Diceros bicornis minor: one gene and its partner. The protein of the gene in region 2 interacts with the protein of the main gene of each other region in a biochemical or structural test. Links are inferred from orthologs where the notes say so. Each region holds a gene or a part of one and is shown on either strand. Other genes may lie near its edges.

Evidence for each region.
Region 1: the proteins of RNF114 (region 2) and XAF1 form a complex in vitro, tested with the Homo sapiens proteins (2 studies listed by BioGRID). The link is inferred for Diceros bicornis minor from reciprocal best matches to the Homo sapiens genes RNF114 and XAF1.

What each region holds. Positions count from the first base shown.
Region 1 is NC_080757.1:13,156,376-13,167,272, reverse strand, and holds the start of XAF1 (XIAP-associated factor 1), read right to left. Parts: upstream 4,541-10,897; 5' UTR 4,472-4,540; coding exon 4,440-4,471; intron 2,875-4,439; coding exon 2,739-2,874; intron 2,141-2,738; coding exon 2,084-2,140; intron 1,703-2,083; coding exon 1,507-1,702; intron 257-1,506; coding exon 171-256; intron 1-170. UniProt on the Homo sapiens protein: Seems to function as a negative regulator of members of the IAP (inhibitor of apoptosis protein) family. Inhibits anti-caspase activity of BIRC4. Induces cleavage and inactivation of BIRC4 independent of caspase activation.
Region 2 is NC_080758.1:12,096,473-12,106,954, forward strand, and holds the start of RNF114 (E3 ubiquitin-protein ligase RNF114), read right to left. Parts: upstream 4,035-10,482; 5' UTR 4,020-4,034; coding exon 3,880-4,019; intron 1-3,879. UniProt on the Homo sapiens protein: E3 ubiquitin-protein ligase that promotes the ubiquitination of various substrates. In turn, participates in the regulation of many biological processes including cell cycle, apoptosis, osteoclastogenesis as well as innate or adaptive immunity.

The DNA.
Region 1 (10,897 bases), on a different chromosome or scaffold from region 2:
TTAGCCTAAAGCAATTCACTAACATCCCTTTTTGAACAAAGCAAAAATAAATATGGGAGCCTTTAATATGAATGCTATGTAAAATTGGGCCCAGAATCTACCTTTCATATCACACTTTCAAATATGGACTAGCTATTGGCACCATTAGAAAATGACTAATTGCTACTCACCATATGGTGGAAATACTTATTTCCTGGAATCTTTTGGTTGCAATAATGACAGTAGATTTTGCTTTCAGGAGCTGAAATTCTCTTCCCTGAATAAGCACAGAGACAATACCACAAATGATTGTCCTTGACAATGGCAAACCCAACTTTCCCACAAGTGTGTACGTGGCCTATAGTCATGAATATGAACTGCCCCCCGGGCCTGCCTGGCCGTGAGTGTCCTGCACTGTCACTGTCCTCAGCCACACAGGAAACCCTTGGCCAAATCATCCACATCATTTCCTTTATAGCTGCAGATCTGCACTCAGGGCAGCATGCCACCCTGATGAAGAGACATTTTCCTGGAGCAGGACTGGTTTCTAAGGAGACAAGAGAGCTGTTACCACAGATGCCAATCCCGTCTAATCTGACTGCTCTTTCATTCACCAGTTTCTGAGCTCTGTGATCAAATTGGGTGTTATCGTACACATCTTTGTCGATTGTGTTGAAGCGGTGTTGTGTTGTCTTGTTGAAGTTGTGTTGCGTTGATGAAGTTGTGTTCAAGTTGTGTTGCTTGTGTTGAAGCCCAGCCATGCTGGAATGAAGGAAATGAATATGAATCGCAAGCATTCCAGTTTTCCGTTTGCCAATTTTGTCCGTGGGTAGATTGTGTACCAGGAGAGAGGCACTGTCCAAGGGGTGCTATAGGCTCTTTCCACATGTCACTACATTACCAAAACAACCAGTGGAGTCAACAGATCTGTCACGTTGGTGGGTTGTGTTCTCCGTAAACACACCTCATAAAGAGGTAGCTGGGTCCAGAGAATGTGAAATGGTACCAGGGAGCCAACACACAGGCCAAAGGCCGGGAGCTACAGCTGGTTCCCTTCGGTCCCTTGCCGATGGTGGAAAAAGCTCCCGATTTAGTGTTGGGAAACTTGGTGTCCAGTCTTATTTCTTCCTCTAGCAAGCCCCTGCTTCATTTTGTGCATGGGTTTCTCATCTGTAAAAGGATGCAGGTGGGTCTCTGCCCAGCTAGGATGGTGCTGGAGGATTCAAAGCCAGTCTCCCATGTTGTAGGGCCCCCATTGCCTCTGCACCCATCTGTGTGACTCCCAGGCCTCCACCCCCTGGCCTCTTGGTCTCCCTGGACCAGTCATTTGAAGACCATAGCAGATACACAAGAAGGCTACTCTCGTACGTGGTCTAGAACTCAAATAGCCAGATGAATTTGATATGCGCACGTCTGTCATAGACATACATCATCCGTCCTGATGGGAGCCTGCGTTCTTGCATCCCATCCAGGAGATGCTCCCTTTCCTTGAAGCTTCCCTTTTCCTCCCCAGCCTCTGCTGCTCACCTTTCCTGAGCTGGGCCTGTTCACCCCGACACACGTCCGTGTGCTGGGCCAGCTCTCGGAGCATGATGGGCTGGCCGCAGTGTAGGCAGAGCTCTGTCCGGTTGCCGCAGTGGTGCTCGTGGATCTCCACCTTGCTGAGGCGCACGGCCAGCTTACAGAACTTACACTCAACAGGGCGGTCTGGGCATTCCGTGGCCTGCGGGGAGGCAGGCAGGACGGGCATGGTCACTGGCTTGCAGTGACTGCAGCCCTGTTGGTCAGGATAGGGATATTTGCTTATTTCCCTAGGAACTGAGGCCAATAAGAGAAAGCCGATGGGAAGTGCTAGAGGGGGCACTCTCCTCTGGGAATACAGCTCTCTTGGGCTCATGGACCGGGGCAAGCCCTTCTGACCAGCATCTAGGGGACAGCAGGACCTGTGTTCCTGTGGCGGGCTAGTTCTCCATTTTTCCCCGCGCCGACTTGGGTGAGAAGAGAGAGGTCAAGTGGAAATCTTGATTATTGGCCCCTCCTCGCCCTTCCTCTCCTCCCAGGTTGGCTGCTTGGCGGTTAAGGAGAAATCACTCTGGACTCTCACCTCATGAAACTCCAGCAAGTGCTTCTGCACGCTCTGCTGACACATCGCACACCAGACCTAAACACAGAGAGAAATGCAGCTCCCACCCAGCTCTTGCTGCCTCTCCCCACATCTGCCTCAGTTCATGTGTTTTAGGTCCGGGTCTGTGAGCTCCTCGGGGGTGGGGATCAGGTGTGGCTCCTCAGGCTCTCTGCAGCACCGGGCCCGTGTGCAAGAAGTGTTTGTGGGACCCACAGAGTTGAAATGGATGCCTGAGCTTGAGAATCAGAAAGACAGAAAAGGGACCCCAGGAGGGACTGACATGAAAGAGCAGGAAAGAAAAGTCAGCCTTTGACTGGCCTTGGCCATGACTGCCTTCTAGAACTTTCCTTTCCTGCTTCCCCTCTTCACAAATCTCAAAAGAACATTCAACCTTTTCTGAAACAGGGACCCCTTGTCTTGGCCGAACCCATCAGCCTGTAGGGAAAGGATTGGGAATGGGAAAAGCGGGGTAGACTCAGTTCAGTGTGAGAAAGGCAGAGTCACCATCTCCACGTCACAGACGGGGGCTGGGGCGTGCAGGGGCTAAATGGTTAGCCCCTACCAGCCAAGCAAGTTACTGCAGCGAGGACTAGACTCTGGCTGGCCTCCCCGCGCTCCACCTCTGCCTCCTCACCTGCTGGTGCCCGTTCTCACAATGCTCTTCCTTCTTTGCCAGGGGGACGGGTCCCTTGCACTCCGGGCAGAGGACCAGGAACAGAAGGCAGTGGGCCTCGTGGAGGGCCAAGTGGGCAGGGGCCATGCTTCTTTTGCTGCAGGAGCAAAGGGGGAAGGAAAACAAGCTGACTTCTTGGCATAAAACATGGAGTCATATTTCATACCCGGGCTGCTGGGTTAAGATCCTTCGAGGCCTCAAGCATTGAAAACATGATGATGATGCCCCCTCCCCATGTTGCTCCCCATTCAGAACAACACAAAATCATAAAATAAGTGTAAGGACGCTCCACAAAGCTCTCACATTGCCCGGATCGAGTGGGGCTGGGTGAGAGGGAGCAGGAGGAGAGATTACCAGGGGCCTGAGGAGACCTAGGGGTGGTGGGCAGGCTCACTATCTTGACTGTGGTGATGGCTTCATGGGGATATACACGTGCCAAATGCGCCACATAGTACACTTCAAAAATGAACCATAAATGCAGTTTATGTCCATCGTACCCTGGTAAAGCTGTTTGAAAAGCGAAAGAACAAATATCAAATTCCTTCCAGTATTTTGTCTTGTTTTCAAGTGCTCCCCCGCGTGGTACACGGCTGCTTGGGAACCCAGCCCCGCCACGCCCACGCCCCCTGCAAGGGCAACACCGGCTTTCAGGATCTCCACAGCGAGAGCTTCCCACGGCTCCGAGAGCTGAGGCCTCCACTGATGCCCTGCCTCCAGGCTGACCCGTGCAACTCAGAGAGATCCCGAGGCCCTTCTTGAAGACCCCAAAGAACAGAAGCTTCTGAGCCTCCCGGGTCCCGGGCAGGTGGTTTCTTAACCCTCCTCCTCACTGCAAAATGCCTCCTTTCATTTCCATCAGCTCTTGCTTGTGGCAGCTTGGGAGAAAGGAAACTCAGAGGCTGCAGCCCTAAAGCCCCAGTGAGGATGAGAGTTGCACCCCCAAGGCCCTGGCACAGGGGATGTGGCCAGAGGGGAGCAGCCAGAGCCTCACTCCTCTTGATCTGAACAAGCTCATGGCTTCTGCGCTGCCCAGATGGACCAAGCCTTCTCCACTTTCCCGTTCCTCCTCTGTTCTTGCCCCCTGCCTGGCCTGGCCCCTTTCTCTCTCTGCTCTCCCTGCCCCGTCCCCTCTGCTCTTCTTCCTGAGCTGGTCCACACACCAGGGAGCCAGGAGGGTCTGTCTGGAGCAAAGCTCTCTGGGAAGGATCCTCTGTCCCCCTCACCCCACCCCGCCCCACAGCTCCCTCTCAAGGAGAGGTTGGGAACGGTCCTGGAGAACCTCCGTGGGCCCCTTTCTGTCAAAGACCGGTGTGAAGACTTGGTGATCAGAACCACAAATTAGGACCCAAGATCTGACAAGCCTGAGTAGCCCAGCAGGGACAATTAGCCTGGCTATTTGAATTAGGACTGTCCCAGAAAGTCTAAAATATCTCGGGGAGGGGGCGGGGTTCAGTGATATTAAGGTAATGCTGCCCACCTCTTGCCATCTCATCATCTCAGAGATCCACTGAGTCTAAACCTTCTTACCTGGGGCACAGTGCCCACCCCGTCCCACCCATAGCAATGTCCGGACCCTTTCTCCTCACTTCAGAAGCCGCCTTGTCCTGCTGCCCCTCTCACCAGCCAGCCTCAGGCCCACAGCTAGGGAAAGCCACTTCTTACCAGTTCCTGCATGCCTGGAAGGCCCCCTCCATTTCTGGTCTCCGCAGTCTTCCTGTTGAGTTTCTGTTTCTCGCAGACTAGAAAACAAAACTGAAAGTGTTCCCACAACCCGGCCCACAGCTCTGGGGAGGGAGGGGTTTTTCAGAATTCCCAGCCCAGGGCTGCTCCAAGGTTCTTGCAGCTGGACACTCCCAGGAAGCCCGTCTGTAGCTTGGCCAGCCTAGCCTGCCCCCACTGCCTCCGCCTGCCTGTGCTGTCACCCCGTGCTGCTGTCACTGACCATTTCTACGACCTCGAGGAAGGGAGCCAGAGGCCAGGCCTCCCCTGGGCAGCAGCCCCTCCTCTCACCCAGGCTGGCTTCACTGCCTCTGAGTATCTCTATCCCCTTCCACAGAACACTTCCACAGAACTCCCCTCTCCTGTTCCTCTTGCTGGTCCTTCCTCGGCTGGAGAGACATGGCTTGCTGTGTTGAATTGGAAGGCTGCTTCCTGAGAGCAGCTCCTGGACTTCCTGTCTCCTCCTCTGGTCCTAGGTGGTGACGACTTTGAAAACAGGGTCCAGAAGGAATTGGGGATGCAGAGTGGTGTGTGCCAAGACTGCAGGCTTTCAGGCCACATCACACAGTAGCTTGGTGACCTAGGGCAACAGCCTAGCTCCCTGAGCTTCTCTTCCCTCACTTGTAAATAATTACAGCAAACATGGCTGTAAGGCTGACGGGGTGACAGACAAGTGAGGAAGCTTCTATTTTCATCATCCCCATCTGCAGATAAAGAAACCGAGGCAGTGAGGGGCGATGTGACTTGCACACGTCACATAGCCAGGAGGCAGGAGAATCAGGCTTTGAACCCAGGCAAAGTGGCCCCCGGCCTGTCTCTCCTCAATGGCCATAGGGTTGGGAGCTCAGAGTTCGAATCCTGATTAACTGGCAGCTTGAGTGACCTCAGCCTTTTGGGCTTCTGTTTCTTCATTTTTTGGACTCAACTGGGGAACTGGGGGACTTTAGGAGTCTGTATGCTCCCAGAAATTGTGTGCACAATTGCTTTCATGTATGTGCCTTTTCCCAAGAAAGAGCCAATGTTTTTAGCAGACACTCAAAAGGAGTCCATGACCCGGACAGTTATAAATGACTGGACAAATTGACCCAAAGTTTTGAGATTCAAAGAAATCAAGTTCTGTTAAAGGCAACACATGTCCAAAATTATATGTGCATAATTGAATCAAGTGAACAGAGGAGATTTGTTTGTCTACCTGTGTTCTTTTCACAGGGAGAAGCAGGGTGCAATTCGTTAGATAAATAAAAATGATGAAACAGTGTATCACATAGCTCAATGAGAATTTAAAAATATGCAGATAATTGCAACTGCATTAGAAACATTTGGATATTATATACTTCATATTGAAATTCTTTAAGAGGATTTAATATGTATTTCTGTTTCCCAGAATTTTATTTGTAAAAAATCAAGCCTATCTTTAATTAGCTTCAATAATCACCTTTATTGTTTATAAACACAGTTAAGATATTAGTGTGTAGTTGGAGAATTTTGATTGTAGTCTTGCACATGTATCTAAGCATTTTAATTTATTTCAACTTTAGTGAGCACACCATATACACAACTTTACAACAGCTGATAAATACCTAGCAGCTTTTCACTAATACATGAAGAAGTCCCTCCTGATGTTCAGAATGTCAGAAAGCAAAAAGGAATCATGAAGCAAAGATGAGTAACACGCAAAGCACCTAGATTGGGGCCTGGCCATTTGTCGGGGCTCTTGGTGCTGGGGTGGAGGACAGTGGCTTCCAAACTTGTCCACACATTGGAATCGCTTAGGGAACTTACAGAAATCCACTGATGCCTGCCCAACCCCAGAGAGTGTGACTTCACTGGTCCAGGTGGGACTGTGGGGTTTTGAAAGGTCCTAGGTGATTCTAACGTGCAGAGAAGCCAGGAGCCACTGGTGTAGGAGGAAAAGGCTGGTTCCAAGTTGCAGGGCCAGCGCTGTGATTTAAGCCTTTGGCCCTTGGCTTTCCATCTGAAGACTAAAGGGATGGGGGCAGATGAGCGTCATTGAAAATTCCAGAAGTAGAGATGTGCAGCGTGGGGACAGACACTTGGTGCTCATGGAGGAAAGATGGGCTGGGTTGCTGCCGAGGGGAGAGCCGGGATCATTTGGTGGAAATCTCCGGAGGCCCTGAGCTTCCTTCCCATCACTACCCTGTCCCTCGATGAACCCGTCAGGGATGGAGGGGACTCGGCCCCAGGAGTGAGGCTGGGAGGGTCTAGGATGCGGTGAATGCCAAGCTCTCATGTCCCCTGTGGGTGAGCTCACAAGAAAGCCCACATAAGCCAAGGTGCAGACAAGCTTTTCATCCAAGCAGGCCCAGGGGAGGCCACCGGAAGAGAAGGGGTGGTGGCCTGCTGGATGGGGTGCTTCAGGGATGTGGGAACAGGATGTGGAGGCTGCTTACATACCCCCCCATCCGCCCACTGGATAGACCTACTCTAGTGTGATCCCCCCCGGGGTCCTCAGAGCATTCCCAGACCCCAGAAGCAGCTGTGCTAACAGAAAGGCTCTGAATGATGAGTGAGGAGCGATGACACAGGCAGGAGGAGAGAATTCTTGTGAAGTCTGCAGATGGGATGGGGGCCCCTCGGAGGAGGATAATGGGATTAAGGACTAGGCCAGACGGGCTCCAGCCTCCTGCCAGACTGTAAAATTCAGGCACCAAATGAGGAACAGTGGGCAGTAATCATAATGATCAGAGGGATAAGAGGTAATAGCCAATGAAGGCTTAAGCATTTTCCATGTCCCAGGCATTATGCTAAGCATTTTACAGGCATTAATTTTTGTGTGCGTGTGTGTGAGGAAGATCGGCCCTGAGCTAACATCTGTTGCCAATCTTCCTCTTTTTATTGAGGAAGATGGGCCCTGAGCTAACAGCCATGACCTTCTTCCTCTGTTGTATATATGGGACACCTGCCACACCGTGGCTTGATGAGCGGTGCATAGGTCTGTGCCCAGGATCTGAATCCTCGATCCCCGGACTGCCGAAGCAGAGCATGTGAATCACTACACCACCAGGCCAGCCTCCATTAATTTTTTTTTTTTAATCTGCCCAACAGCTCTGGCACAAGAATTATTATTAGCCCCATTTTGCACCTATAGAAACGGAGGCACAGAGAGTTTAAGGACTTTGCTCAAGGTCACACAGCGAGTGCCAGAGCTGGGATTCAAAACAGGTTGATCTGACTCAGGGATCTACGTGTCTAAGCAAGACACGGTCCACCTTGTTAGACAGCTGGTGGTGGGGGAGACCCCGGTTAGCATCCTGACTCCCTTCCTCATCAGCTGGGCAAATTCCTTAATCTCTTGGACCTTTGCCTCGCACTCCTGTCTATCTCGGGGCAGGCAGTCTTGTGAATATCCACAATAACGAAAAAAACTGAGCTTTCACACCTCGTCTCCTGCTGGGATCCCCCAGAATGGAGGGGGGTGGTAGAAATGTAAAAGAGCGGTGCACAGGTGGGGCGTCCCAGAGCGCAGGAATCAGGGACAGGGCCATGGGGGTGGAATTGGAAAGGACTATGAGTTTTTTCATCTCTGCCCTAATTTTCTTCCAAGATGTTTTCTCTTTCCAGACTGTCCACCCCTGCACCATCCCTTCCCTTACATATCAAAATCCCACCAGTTCTTCAAGTCCAACTCCAATGCGGTCACTGGTAGAGGACCTCCCTCCTCTGTCTCTGGTTATGGTCAGTTGCTTGTCTGTTTGTTGCCCCAACTTGCCCCCACTCAACTATGGGTGTAGACAATTTGAGATTCATCACCTCTTTCACCAGGCTCTTTCTGCCAGAGGGACCCACATGCCTTGTGCTTAGTAGGCAGTGAAGCGCTATGCTGTGCGTTGGTGGGCAAACACTGGCCAACCTGAATGGATGTGAAGGATGCGTGTCTGGGTTAATTAGAGCGGAAGTTAGAAGTCCTTCCCCACCGCCAGCCCACCCCAGTACCCAGGGGCTCTCAAAGACGCAGTGATGGCCATTTCTTTTGAACGTTCAAGATAACTTATAATTATATAACTAATGCACAAATATGCTTTCTTTAAAAAAAATCAGAATATTACAGATAAAGTAAAATTTCTTTTTGACCACATGCCCACTCCTGAGCCGCCACTATTTTTAACTGCAGTGTGTAACCGGGAACATTCTGGTTGGCACAGAGGCCTGTCCCCATTCCCACCACAATGTGAATCAGAGCTGTGGGCTTGCATGATTTCGTCATTCTGCCACCCGTCTTTGGCTGGTCACCAACCCCCTCCTCCAACCCCAATCCCATAAAAAACTGGATTAGAAATGCTCTGTTGTGAGTCTAGAATTCCTCTCCAGGACGCTGTGGCTGCCCGCTTGGCAGCTGTCAGGAGTTTCCGGCAGTCCCTTTGTGTCAGGCCGGCGGGTCAGGGGAGGGGGGTCAGGGTTGTCACAGGGAACCGATTCCTCAGACATGGTTTGGCCAGGCTGCTCGATGTCACCTTTCACTGGGAGGGGGGGAAGGGGAAGTAGGAATTCTGGGCTGGACCAGGAATTAGGAATAATAATACGTACCTCAATGCATTGTTTTGAGGATAAAACGAGAAATTCTGTATGAAAGCTGTACAAGGTCATGGAAGATAAGAGAGAGTGTGAAAAGAAGGTTATTTCAATAGCTGGCTTTGGGAAGAGAGCTTAGGTTTTATTCTTTCAAGGGACCGCTATGCTAAGAAAAATGATGTAACGACGGAGGTATTTCATTTCCCAGACAAAAATTACATGGTGGAATTGTGCACACTTATGTTGGTCATGCCTTTCAGAAGGATCCTGTGGTCAGAGTGGGCCTGAGTTCTGGCAGACATGATTATCAAGATTGCAGTCTCCCCAAGTACAATATGTTTGAGTGGGAGTTTGTTTTTCAGACCACATGCAATTGCATCAAATGACTAGTCTCTGGATGGAATTCAAGCCTGGGAATATCTGTGATTGTGTTTGGGGCAGACTCCAGGTCTGGCTGGGTGGCGAAGTCAGGGAATGCCCTGTCGGCTCCTGCTTAGTTGGCATGCAAAGGGGAGGAAACTTGTCATTAAACTCACGGGCAAGAAACAGCAGCTCCATGGCATCCTGTGTGCATTTGTGGTCCCAAGTATTCTTCCCTTCCCTGCCTTCTGGTGGAGGTCTGTTTCCACATAGTCTCAGCTCTTTTTCCTGGTTAAAGCACCTCCTCACCCACTCCCCTACCCAATCAGCAATCCTAGCTCCTCTCTTTGTCCCCAAATGGCCCAAAGGGACATTTCAGGGTCAGTGTTCAGGGGCCTTCTCCCTCTCCCAGGGGAGTATTTAGGTCTCAGTCATGGACTCGCCACCTTAGTTGCTGCCAGATCTCATGCGACAAGTACAAATGACCATACCCATCAAATCTTTTGTTGTCACTTTTCTAGGGGATGTAAGAGAAAAAAATCAGACTCTGAGCATATTTTCATTCTCAGAAGTCGGGGTGAACTTACTGTGCGTGAGCAAGTCGTGGTGATGAGCAGCCACTCAGATCTCATTTTAGAGAATAATTAGTGTCTTTTAATTTTTGAAAAAAAAGCTTATATTCATGTCTTGAATTCTAACATCCTCTTCCACTCCTTGTCTCTATGAGTGTCTCTTTCTACCCTGTCCTTGACATCATGTGGTCTGTCTTACGATGGTGTGCTGGGGCTTTCTTACAATGGCTTGCACTGGCTCTGAGGTCTTGTTGTGCCCATCTCTTCCCAATTTTCCATTCATGGAAAAGTCATGTAGGTAGCTTGAAATTGGCCATGGTAGGAGTATTTACACCATGGAAATTGGCAAACATTACAAATCAGGACTTTCCCCACCGGCCACCCCCCAGCCCCCCGAGAGCTGGCTGTTAACCCTTTAGCAGCACACCACTGCTTTCCTATCTCAGTGATGTGACGTGGGCTCCATGCTGAAGGCCAGGGGTAGGTCAAGGTAGATCACTGAAAAAAAAGAGACAAAGAAAAGTTTATTGTTCCTTAATATTTATCATAAAAATGTAAAAATTCATTCAGAGAAGAGGTTATAAGCATCAGCTTTTTCACTGACATGTGAACTTATTTCTTTCAAAAAAGTAAATCAAAGAAGGAATGTTTATTTATTTGAGCCAATGTGTCAGTATTGGTCAGGAAAAAAATAAGGCACCATGCCAAGTCGGTAGGATATTGTTTTACAAAGCAGAGGGCATGGTCTGGGTTAAATTATTCCCTTATCCATGTTTATTATTATAAGATATAGTAGGTAAGGTATAGCCTACCATATTTTCCACGTTATTTTGTAGATTAATTAATTAATTTAACAATCAAATGGCCTATATGCACCTGGCTCAGGGGCTACAATCACAAATAAAATAAAGTCTCTGCTCTTAGAGAGTTCACAGACTA
Region 2 (10,482 bases):
CCCTACCCCCGATTCAAATACTGCGTCCTCCTAAGCCAGAAAAATGGAGACGGGGGGTTCCCCTGCAAGGAACACACAGGTCCAGCAACAGAAACACACACACTACCATGATACATGGTGAAAGGTCATGGTGCAGTCTTCAAACCTCAGCCCCTGGCCCTGACAGATCTTGGTGGGGTTTCCTGAACCTCGGTGTCTCCTCTGCGGAATGGAGACAGTAGTACATACCTCTAGGATTGTCGGTAGGATGGAATACGTACAGTAGCCCACAGTACAATGTCTAGCACATATGAAATGCACTGCAAACAGGAGCTGCTATCATTAGAGGTGAATGCAAAGCACTATGGGAACACAAAGACAAGAGCAACTAGGTGTGACCCAAGAAGGACAGGGCTGGTGAGACTGAGAGGTGGCATCCACAGAAGAGCCTCAAAAGAAGGAGTTCAACTAGCAGAGGAAGGGAAGAATATTCCAGCCCTTAGACTTAAAAATTCACAATGTATCTGAGGAAATAAAAGTCTAACACTTTTCCTCATAAGCAGGAGGGACCCAGATGTTTGAAGCAAGGTATCAACAAGACCAAATCCAAGTTTTAGAAAAATGACTCCGGGGTCACCATGGACAATAGAGTTGTTGGTTTTTAATTTTTTTTAGGTGAGGAAAGACGAGAAGAGACTTGAAGTACAAACCAAACAGATGGCTAAAGGCAAGGGATTGTGAGGGCCTTACTGAGGCAACAGAGAATTAATTCAGGAAATGATTCAGAGGTGGCATCAGCAGGACTTGGTCACTTACTGAATTTGGAGAAGAAAAGAGGGAAAGTCAAAGATGACCAAGTTCTATCCTGAAGCCTAGGCAGGGGGTGGTGCTGAGATACAGTACACAGAAAGAATGGGTAATAAGGCATGAAAATACCCCGGCTACGTACCCAACCTGATAGATTTAAGGCAGGATAACAAAATCCGCCAGGAAGAACTCAGGATACATAATCAAAAGTAATCTGCACATTCGACAACTTTTTACTGTTTCTAAGAATGTTATTCCTCTTTGTCATTAAGCTAGATGTTAATGCTGCCAGGCAAAATTCTAGACCAGTCTGGGAGAAGGTGAGGGGTTCTACTCATTCACCACTGAGGGCGCAGTGGTGAACTAAACAAAGTCCCTGTCCTTATGATGCTGATATTCCAGGGTGGAAAAAACACAATTGTGAATTTCAGATAGTGATTAAGTATATGAAGGAAATAAAACAAGGCAAAGAGATCAGCTCTCTTTGTAGATCACAGAAAGCTTCTTCAAGGAGGTAATATTTGAGCTGAGACCTAAATTATGAGGAGAGAACCACACAGACCTGGACACAGAGTTCCATACAGAGATGACACCAAGTCAAGGGGGTGGGAAAGGCAGAAAGGAAGGCCTTTGGGGCCATGACGTGGTAGACCATGGGGAGAGGGTAGGCGATGAGGTTGGAGAGGCAGACAGGCCTTGTAGTCATCACTTGCCATACCTCTTCTCAAGGGCAGATCACAAGATAAACCCAAGAGAGCACACAGGGCCCAGAGAGGATAATGAAACCAAACCCAGCCTGTAGATAAAAGCAGCTCGAAGCCTCCCTTCAAGGACACACCCAGATACAGCTCATCGATCAAATGTTCAAGAGACACTTTGTGCCTGAGTCACGCCCAATGAACGAGCCCGCTTTTAAACGGTCCCTATATCTTGGGCTGGCTTTCAGTTTCCATTTTCCATTTATGGGCCTTTTTCTAGTTCAGCCTTCTAGATGCTCCACCTTTCCTGTTATGTAGAAAGTCCCTTCTCTTGGGCACCCAGCCACCTGCCCTTCTCTAGCTGTATTCCACTAGATTGGAGAGGGATGTGTCATTCAGGGCTTGAAATAAATTTTATAAAAACCCAATGCCCCAGCCACAGCTGCAGTGATGTTCCAGTTTCCAAGCACAAAAGTTAGCAAAAATCACCTAGGCAGAGCAAAAAGCACCTGGCTGGAGCTAACGGAGACTCATGCTCCCCTCACAGAAGTGCAGCCATGTGTCTTCAATCAGCAGTGAACTAATGAACACACGCAACTAGTATGGTGAGTCTAGAAAAGAGCCAAGGTGAATCCCAGTACTGCCCCTTGACCTTTGACCTAGGAAAAGTTCATCTGGCACAAGGAAACCTCAAATTTTTTGCTTTTCAGTTGGTAAATTGTGCTAGGTCAAGTCTCTTTATAAATGTTAACTGTAAAGGAAACCCATTGAGTTAACTCAAAATTAGGTAAAGGTAATAAGGAGGGCTGATCCAAGGCAAAGAGGACTCAATGAGAAAGCTACCTAGACTCCACTTGCACTCTCCCGAAGTCTGCTTCCTCCACTAATTTCTTAGTTCATTCATCCATTACCTGATCACTCTTGCACCCACACACACAGGTCTGACCCTTATAATACCCTCCCACTGCACAAGGAATTTTCACAATAGCTTGAACATCTGTTAGTACTCACTTATCAATCCACCGGCTTGTGGACTCTGAGGGCAGAACCACCTTGTTTCCTACTGTGTGCCAAGAATCTGGCACATAGTGGGCATACAAAGATTTTAGTGGGCTGAATATAAGAGCGGAAGACGGATGCTCAGACACTGTGCTGGACCCTGCGATACAAAGAGGGGCAAAATGGATATGGTCACCGCCCTCGTGATCCCTACGTTTTGCTCTGTGCAAGGAAGAAGGAAGCCCAGGAGAGAAGGAGAGAGGTAATTTAAATGGGGATGGTGATAGGGAAGTAACTTAAACCGGGACTTGAAGTCAGAAAAGGATGTGGGGTAGTGGCGGGGGAGGTGCAAACCGGGGGGGGGGGGGGGGGGGGACGAGTTCCAGGCTAACTGAACAGCAAGCAGGAACAGCCTGAGGCTAGAAACAGCTTCGCGTACTTGAAGAAGCAAGAAAGCAGCGAGTGCGGCTGAAGAGCCCTTGCCAGATGCCAACTGTTCTCTGGGCTGGGACACGGACGCCTACAGTCCATCCTGGGACTGCTGTAGAAATAAGAAGGCCCGTGAAGCCCAACAGGTGCCTAGTGTGCCTGCCGCCCAGTAAAGGGGTCCTAAGACCAACGCCAAGGAGATGCCCACGACAGCACTGAGGGAGGCCACAGAAGAAATGCCAACTGCAAGCGGCAAGAAGCAGGTGACTACATTTTCTGTAATTCTTCCCACTTGAGTGTGTTTGTGTGTCTGATAGAGCAAGGATTCGATTCAAATCCGGCCAACCTCTAAGCACCTACGCCAGCCCAGGGCCTGTCCCGACATTTGCGCACACATCTTTAGTCATCACAACCAGCCTATCAGCAATACGCAGGCCACGAAGGCTTAATTTCAAAAAGAATGAAACAAACCTCGTACACAAGCGAGTAGGAATGCTAACAATCCCCATCTGCCAACTCCCACCCCTTTCAGTTCAGGGCGGACTGGTCAGCTCTCTACCGAGACTTCCCTTTTGTCCTTTCCACCTAGTTCAGCGTTTCTCCAACTTGAGTGCCCATTAGAATTACCTGGCAGAGCTGGATACGTGACGCCACACGTACTCTACGTCAGGGGCGATGGACAGACTCTCAGGGGAGACTGTGGCTCTCCAAGGGCAGACTTGAGACCCTGCCTAGACCCCAGCAGGGTGCGCCTCCACCGTCACCGGCGGGAAGGGCTGACAGGCCGCCGGGAACACGGCAGGCGCTCAACGGAAGGGCGGGGGGCCAACTTCCACGGGCCTTCGGGGGCCCCGCTAGGCCGGTCCTGTCGCTCCCGCCCCCAGACCCTCCCTGCCGGGGCCTCGCTCTTGCGCTCCATTCCCTCCCGGTGTGGCGCCCCCCGACCAGGCCCCGACTCGCCGCTTACACGTGTCCGCAGGGCACCTGCACCGGCTTCTCGTACACCTCCAAGCACACGGGACACGTGAAGCGGCCCAGCGGGTCGGCCTCCGCCGCGGGTCCCGCCAGCTGCGCACCACCCTCACACTCCTCCAGCTGCGCCGCCATCTTGCTGTCGCGGAGCTCGGCGCAACGGCGGCCGACAAGGAGGAGCCCGAGGGGGCGGGCCCGAGCGCGCGAGGGGCGGGGCCCGCGGGCACAGGGGCGGGGCGAGGGGCGGTGAGGCGCGCTGGGGGCGTGGCTTATGGAGCGTGCGCCCGGCTGGGGGCGGGGCTACTGGAAATGCCGAAGGAAATCCGGAAAATGTGGAAGCTAGATCCGGAGACTGGCAGAATTGGAATGGGCTTTGTGCTTCAGCCAGTTTGCAAAATTTAAACTGTTACGCTGTTACTTAATATTTACTTATGCACTGTTACTTAATATTTCTCTTCAAATAGAGTTGCTCTTTCTTTAAACTTAAGCAAACAAATTTTAAAGGGAGATCTGATATCACTCCTGAGATACAAATAGAAAATCAGTATCACATTTCTATAAGGGCAGTGTAAAAATACAATGGAAACAAAACAATGTTATTAATTCTTGCTGGGTACTATTGACGCTGGAAAGGGAGATCAGCCATTATTGGAGAAGTGTTGCAGACAGGCTGTCGCCACACTGAGACTTCCTAGTGAAAGCAGAAGGAATGGGAAACACGTCTCCCGCAGTGAGTCAACGTTATTTAACATTGTGTTCACATGTCTCCTGGCAATGGGGTCCAGCTCCTGTTCTGTACAGATGGGAAGGTGAGGCTTGAAGAGACAGAATAAACCTCAACCTCACAAGAAAGGAGTGAGCCTAGAACCCAGATGTTTTGAATCCCAACTTTCTCCATGTTCTACTGCACAAGATGCATCTTTTTAAACTGAAGGCTCTGCTAACAATGCTACATGGTTTTTTCAACCAGAAAAGTCAATGATCAATTAAACTTCCATCCTGAAAGGCCACAAAGGCCTCACAGTAACGAGTTTACACAGGACAAATAAATGGTGTTTGTTGAGCCAGGTTAATTGAATGGAAACTTGCGCCTCCCTTGTCCCATTCCCAGTTCTCTGCATTGATTTTGCTGGACCTGGCCGCAGCAGGAGGATTATTTTTAGCTGTCCATGTGGGCATCTTTTCACCGAAGAATGACTTGGCATGTAGGCAACAGCCCCAGAGGGCCAATGCTTACACTTCACCGTTTCTTTTTCCTGTTTCTAGCCAGGCACCTGTGCATCTGAGCTCTTCCCAGCCAGAGGTGCACTGTCTCCCCTCCGCGGATGGGGGTGCCATGGCAGGGGCAGAGGTGTGCTGTGGGTATTTACAAGCCTTTACATTGGCCTTGTCGCTGCTGCCCGAGCCTGTGAGTGTGGGCGGGGGCAGGGGAGCCCCAGACCTGGACTTCAAATCCACTGTGCCTCCAGTTTGGGCTCTTGAAATGAACTTTCCATGAGCTTATACACTTAGTCACAGAGACAAGAGGACAGGGCTGAAATAATATTAATAGTGAACTCTTTTTGTGCTTATTATTCTAAGCACTACACGTGAATAAATCGTCACAGCAACCTATGACTTAGGTTCTTTTATTATCCCCATTTTATAGCTATGCAAATTGAAGCACAGAGAGACTAAATTACCTTTTTTTAAAAAAATTATTTTATTGAAGTCATATTGGCTTATAACATTGTGTAAATTTCAGGTGTACATTATTATATATCAGTTTCTATACAGACTGCATCGTGCTCACCACCAATAGTGTAGTTTTTATGTGTCACCATATATATGTACCACTAATCTGTTCTTATCCATGTATTTATCTTCCACTTATGAGTGAAATCATAACAGTGTTTGTCTTTCTCTATCTGGCTTATTTCACTTAGCGTAACACCCTCAAGGTCCATCCATGTTGTCACAAATGGCACGATTTTCTTTTTTTATGGCTGAGTAGCCTTCCGTTGTATATATATACACCACATCTTCTTTCTCCACTCATTCATTGATGGGACACTTGGGTCGCTTCCAGTCTCGGCTATTGTGAATAATGCTGCAATGAACATAGGAGTTCATAAGTCTCTTTGAATTGCTGATTTAAATTACCTTTTAACACAGATGGGAAATGAGAGTCAGGATTTGAACCCACGCAGTCCGGCTTTGGGACCTGTGCACTTGATGGCCTGTGCAACACAGTCTCCTAGAGCTGCAGGTGTCCTCTGTCTGTCCCTGTGATGATGGTGGATTCGGCTCCAGGAACCAGGAGTTGGGGCGCTTCAGCTTCTTGATAATTTCGAGATCTCAGTCTCCCTGGAACAAACCTCAAGAACTGGTCATTAGCCAGAGTTTCAGTTTGTAGCCACCTGGGCTTTTAATAATTTATTACCTCCACTTGCCTTGTGGAATTTAGGGACGCCAAGGGTAAATATTGACGTGTGAATGTAACGTAGAGAAGCAGGGAAGGGGGAGTGAGTGCTTTTTTGTTTTAACCCCATCTATGCTGGGTTCAAAGCAGGGGAACAGATGTCAGGGCCGGCATCACTCACACCTGTGGGAAAGATATGTACACACAGATGTCCAGGACAGCGCTGGTCACAGTGGCAACGTGGTTAAATAAATACAATAGATGTAATTACTGGTATATCAACTCCATGAGGACAGGCATTCATCCATTTTGTTTACTACTGTATCTTCAGCTTCTACAACAGTATGTATTGCACGGTAGGTAACTCCACAAATATTTGTTAAATGAATATACAGCTGATATATTTTTGAAGTATACGTTTAATTAAAATAACACCAAATGCTGAGTAATGCAGCTAGTATATGTGTATGTTTGTGTGTGATGAATAGACGTCTCTGGAAGGTAGGGGAACCAACTGTCCCATTCGCCTGGGGCCCAGGGGTTTCCCAGGATGCGAGGCTTTCCGTGCTCAAACTGGGAAAGTCCCCGGCACAGCACGATTGGAAGGATTCCCTAGAATCCGGTACCAGTGTCTATTATCAGAAAGGGGAACTGGGGACCCGGGGCCTGTGGGTTGTGGGCCTGGAAGAAGACTAACTTGTCATTCTCTTCCCTCTTGTATTGTCTAAACTTTTCTACCAAGTTCCTGCATCATTTTTTAAGTAAAATTAAACAGTGGTGCCTTAGGCCCTGTGGGAGAATAGTTGAGATGAATTAGATATGACCTCAGCCCTCAAATCATGTAACCCTCAGAGCCCTATTGCTTAGCCTCGGGTCACACGTAAAATTTATTACTATACTTATCTAACGTAGGAGGAATTCACACCATTATGTGTTACTACACTTATTAATCTATGGTTACTGCATTTATTAATCCATGGGCAGATAATTTCATCTTGGCTTCAGCCAGTTCGCCAAGATTGCCAAATTGTAAGAGACAGGAGGAATTCCCACCTACACCACTGGGGGGCATACGAGTATCTTATAGGCTCACCCTGCCCAGCAAGGTCAACACTGCCTCTCTTATTCTTTCCTGTTCCTTAAGTGCCTACTGCCCTTGCTCATTGTGGCTTACTGTACTTAGCCTGGAAGTAAAAATCAAAAAGGACATAGTCTCGGGTTGCAAGGAGGTGACACTGGCATGTAAATATCCATTCAACCAATAACTTTTGTGTGCCAGGCCTCCTAATAGGTGTTAGGGATATGGCAGTGAATGATTTGGATATAAACAGGAAAGACACAGGGGGGTGACCACATAAAAATGCTGCTTCCAGAAAATTGCAGTTTATCAGTTGTTTCACCAGCTCACTGTTTTCACACAGCATTTTACAGTTTATGTTATATCAAGGATCAGCAACATGAGGTAAACACAATGATCTAGTAAGATCTGACAAGAACTAGAACCAAACAATGGATATTATCAAGAAGACTGAAATAGGGACTTAAATCCACCATCATCAGCACTAAGCTGCACTCCATGTACATATTGCGACTTGAGACATTGGCTAATGAGAGAATGAATTCACAGTTAGCAAGACGCTGAAAAACTAAGCATCCATGTGGAAGCTGGAATTGCTGGGTCATTTGGCAAGTGTATATTTAAACTTATTAGAAACTGCCAAACCAAACCATTTCCCAAATATATCCCACTGCCGCCGACGGTGTGTGAGCTGCTCCGTATCCTCACCAGCGTGTGGTTGTCTGCCATTTTGATTTTAGCCGTTCTAGTGGGTGTCTAGTGATGTCCTATGGTTTTCATTTTCATGGTGATGAGTGATGTTGAGCACTTTTGCATTTGCTTATTGGCCATTTGTATGCTTTCCTTTGGATAGCATTTGTTCAAGTCTTTTGTTAATTTTTTATTGTCTTTTTTGTTCTTCGTTGTAGGAGTTCTTCTCTATAAGGGTATCCCAAAGGTCTTAGTGCAATTTTGAGCTTTAAATACTTCAAAGCTATTTAAAGTTTAACACTTAAAACTGCACCAAATTTTTGGAGGCTTTGTAAATTCTGGATACAAATCCTTTATCAGACATATGTCCTACAAATATTTTTTCACAGTCTGTGGCTTGCCTATGCATTTTCTTAGTTGTGTCTTTTTTTTTAATATGCCACTTTGTAAAACTTTTTTTTTTTTTTTTTTTTTGGTGAGGAAGATCAGCCCTGAGCTAACATCCATGCTAATCCTCCTCTTTTTGCTGAGGAAGACCGGCTCTGAGCTAACATCTATTGCCAATCCTCCTCCTTTTTTTTTTCCCCCAAAGCCCCAGTAGATAGTTGTATGTCATAGTTGCACATCCTTCTAGTTGCTGTACGTGGAACGTGGCCTCAGCATGGCCGGAGAAGCGGTGCGTCGGTGCGCGCCCGGGATCCGAACCCACGGGCCACCAGTAGCGGAGCGCGCGAACTTAACCACTAAGCCACCAGGCCGGCCCTGTAAAACTTTTTATTGTGGAAAATTTTAAACATATTTAAAAGTAAAGTGAGTAGAATGATGAATTTACATGTACCTTTCACCCAGCTTTCATAGTTACCAGTTCATGACTAGTCTTATTTGTTCTATGCCCTCATCAATTCTTCCCTTCACCCACCAGTGGCATTATTTTGAAGCAAATTTAATCATGTCTTTTGATGAGCAGAAATTTTTAATTTTGATAAGGTCTAATCTATCTTTTTTTTTTCCTTTTATTATTCGGGGTTTGTGTTCTAAAACACCTTTGTCTACCCACGGTTGCAAAGATGTTCTCCAACATGTTCATTTAGAAGTTTTATAGTTTTAGCTTTTATGTTTAGAACTATGATCCATCTTGAATTAATTTGTGTGTATGGTGTGAGGTGTGGATCCAATGTTAGCTTTTCCCAATGGCTATCCAGTTGTTCCAACACCATTTATTAAAAAGCCCACTCTGTGACCCCAAATTTCACTCAAGAAAAAATTTAGGTAAAATTCTCAAATTTTACCCAAGAGATATGTAAACACATGTTCATAAAAAGATTTGTGCAAGAGTGTTGTAGCTCATACAAGAATGTTCAAATCGTTCTAAACTGGAAACATGCCAAAAATATATCAACATGTGAATGAATAAACAAGTTGCAGTGTCTTCATACAATGGAATACTACTCAGCAATACAAAGGAACAAACTATCGATACATTATACTTATAATGTGGATGAATCCCAAAAACATTATGCTGAGTGAAAGTAGCCAGACCCCAAAATTTACATAATGTAGGATTGTATTTATATGAAATTCCAAACAAAACTAATCATGGTGAAAGAAATAAGAACAGTGATCTCCTCTGGGCGTAGACTTGACTGAAAAGGACATGAAGGAACTTTCTGGGATTTTGGAAATATTCTATATTTTAATAGGGATTCTATATTTTCTATTAGGGATTCTGTATGTTCTATATTTTAATAGGGTGTATGCATTTGTCGAAACTCAATGAATTGTAACTCATAAGATCTGTGCATTTCACTGTATGCAAATTATAACTCAAAATAAAAATTAAAAGACAAAAAAATGCATGTAAAGAACTTACTGCAAAGGCTAGCAAATATTAAGCACTTAATACAAGTTATCTACTATTATTAAAATTTTTTAATTATATACTTTAAGAAAAAAATACATCTTTTCAGATGATATTTGTAATTGTCTATTTGCCTCTGCAGCATGATTACATTAAAAATAACAGCAAAACATCAAACAATAACAACAAAACCCCCAAACATCCAGAACAAGAAGACGACCTCTCCAGCTGGTGCATGGGATTTAAAAGAAAAGAAAAAGTACATCCTGATTTGGTAAGCAGAGGCAGACGTTCCAGCTTCCATCTGGATCTGTGCATATTTTTAAGGAAACTTTCCCAGCTATAAGCACCATTAAAAAGCAAGTATCAAAATAAATATTATTGGGACAATTGGCAAATTTGAATATGGGCTGTATGTTAGAAAATAGTATTGTTTCAATGTTAAATTTCCTATTTTAATAATTGTGTGGTGGTTATTTAAGAAAATATATTTGTTTTTGTGCAATACATGCTGAAGTATTAAGGGTAACCTACCTTCCCTGACTGCAACTTATTCTCATCTAGTTCAACA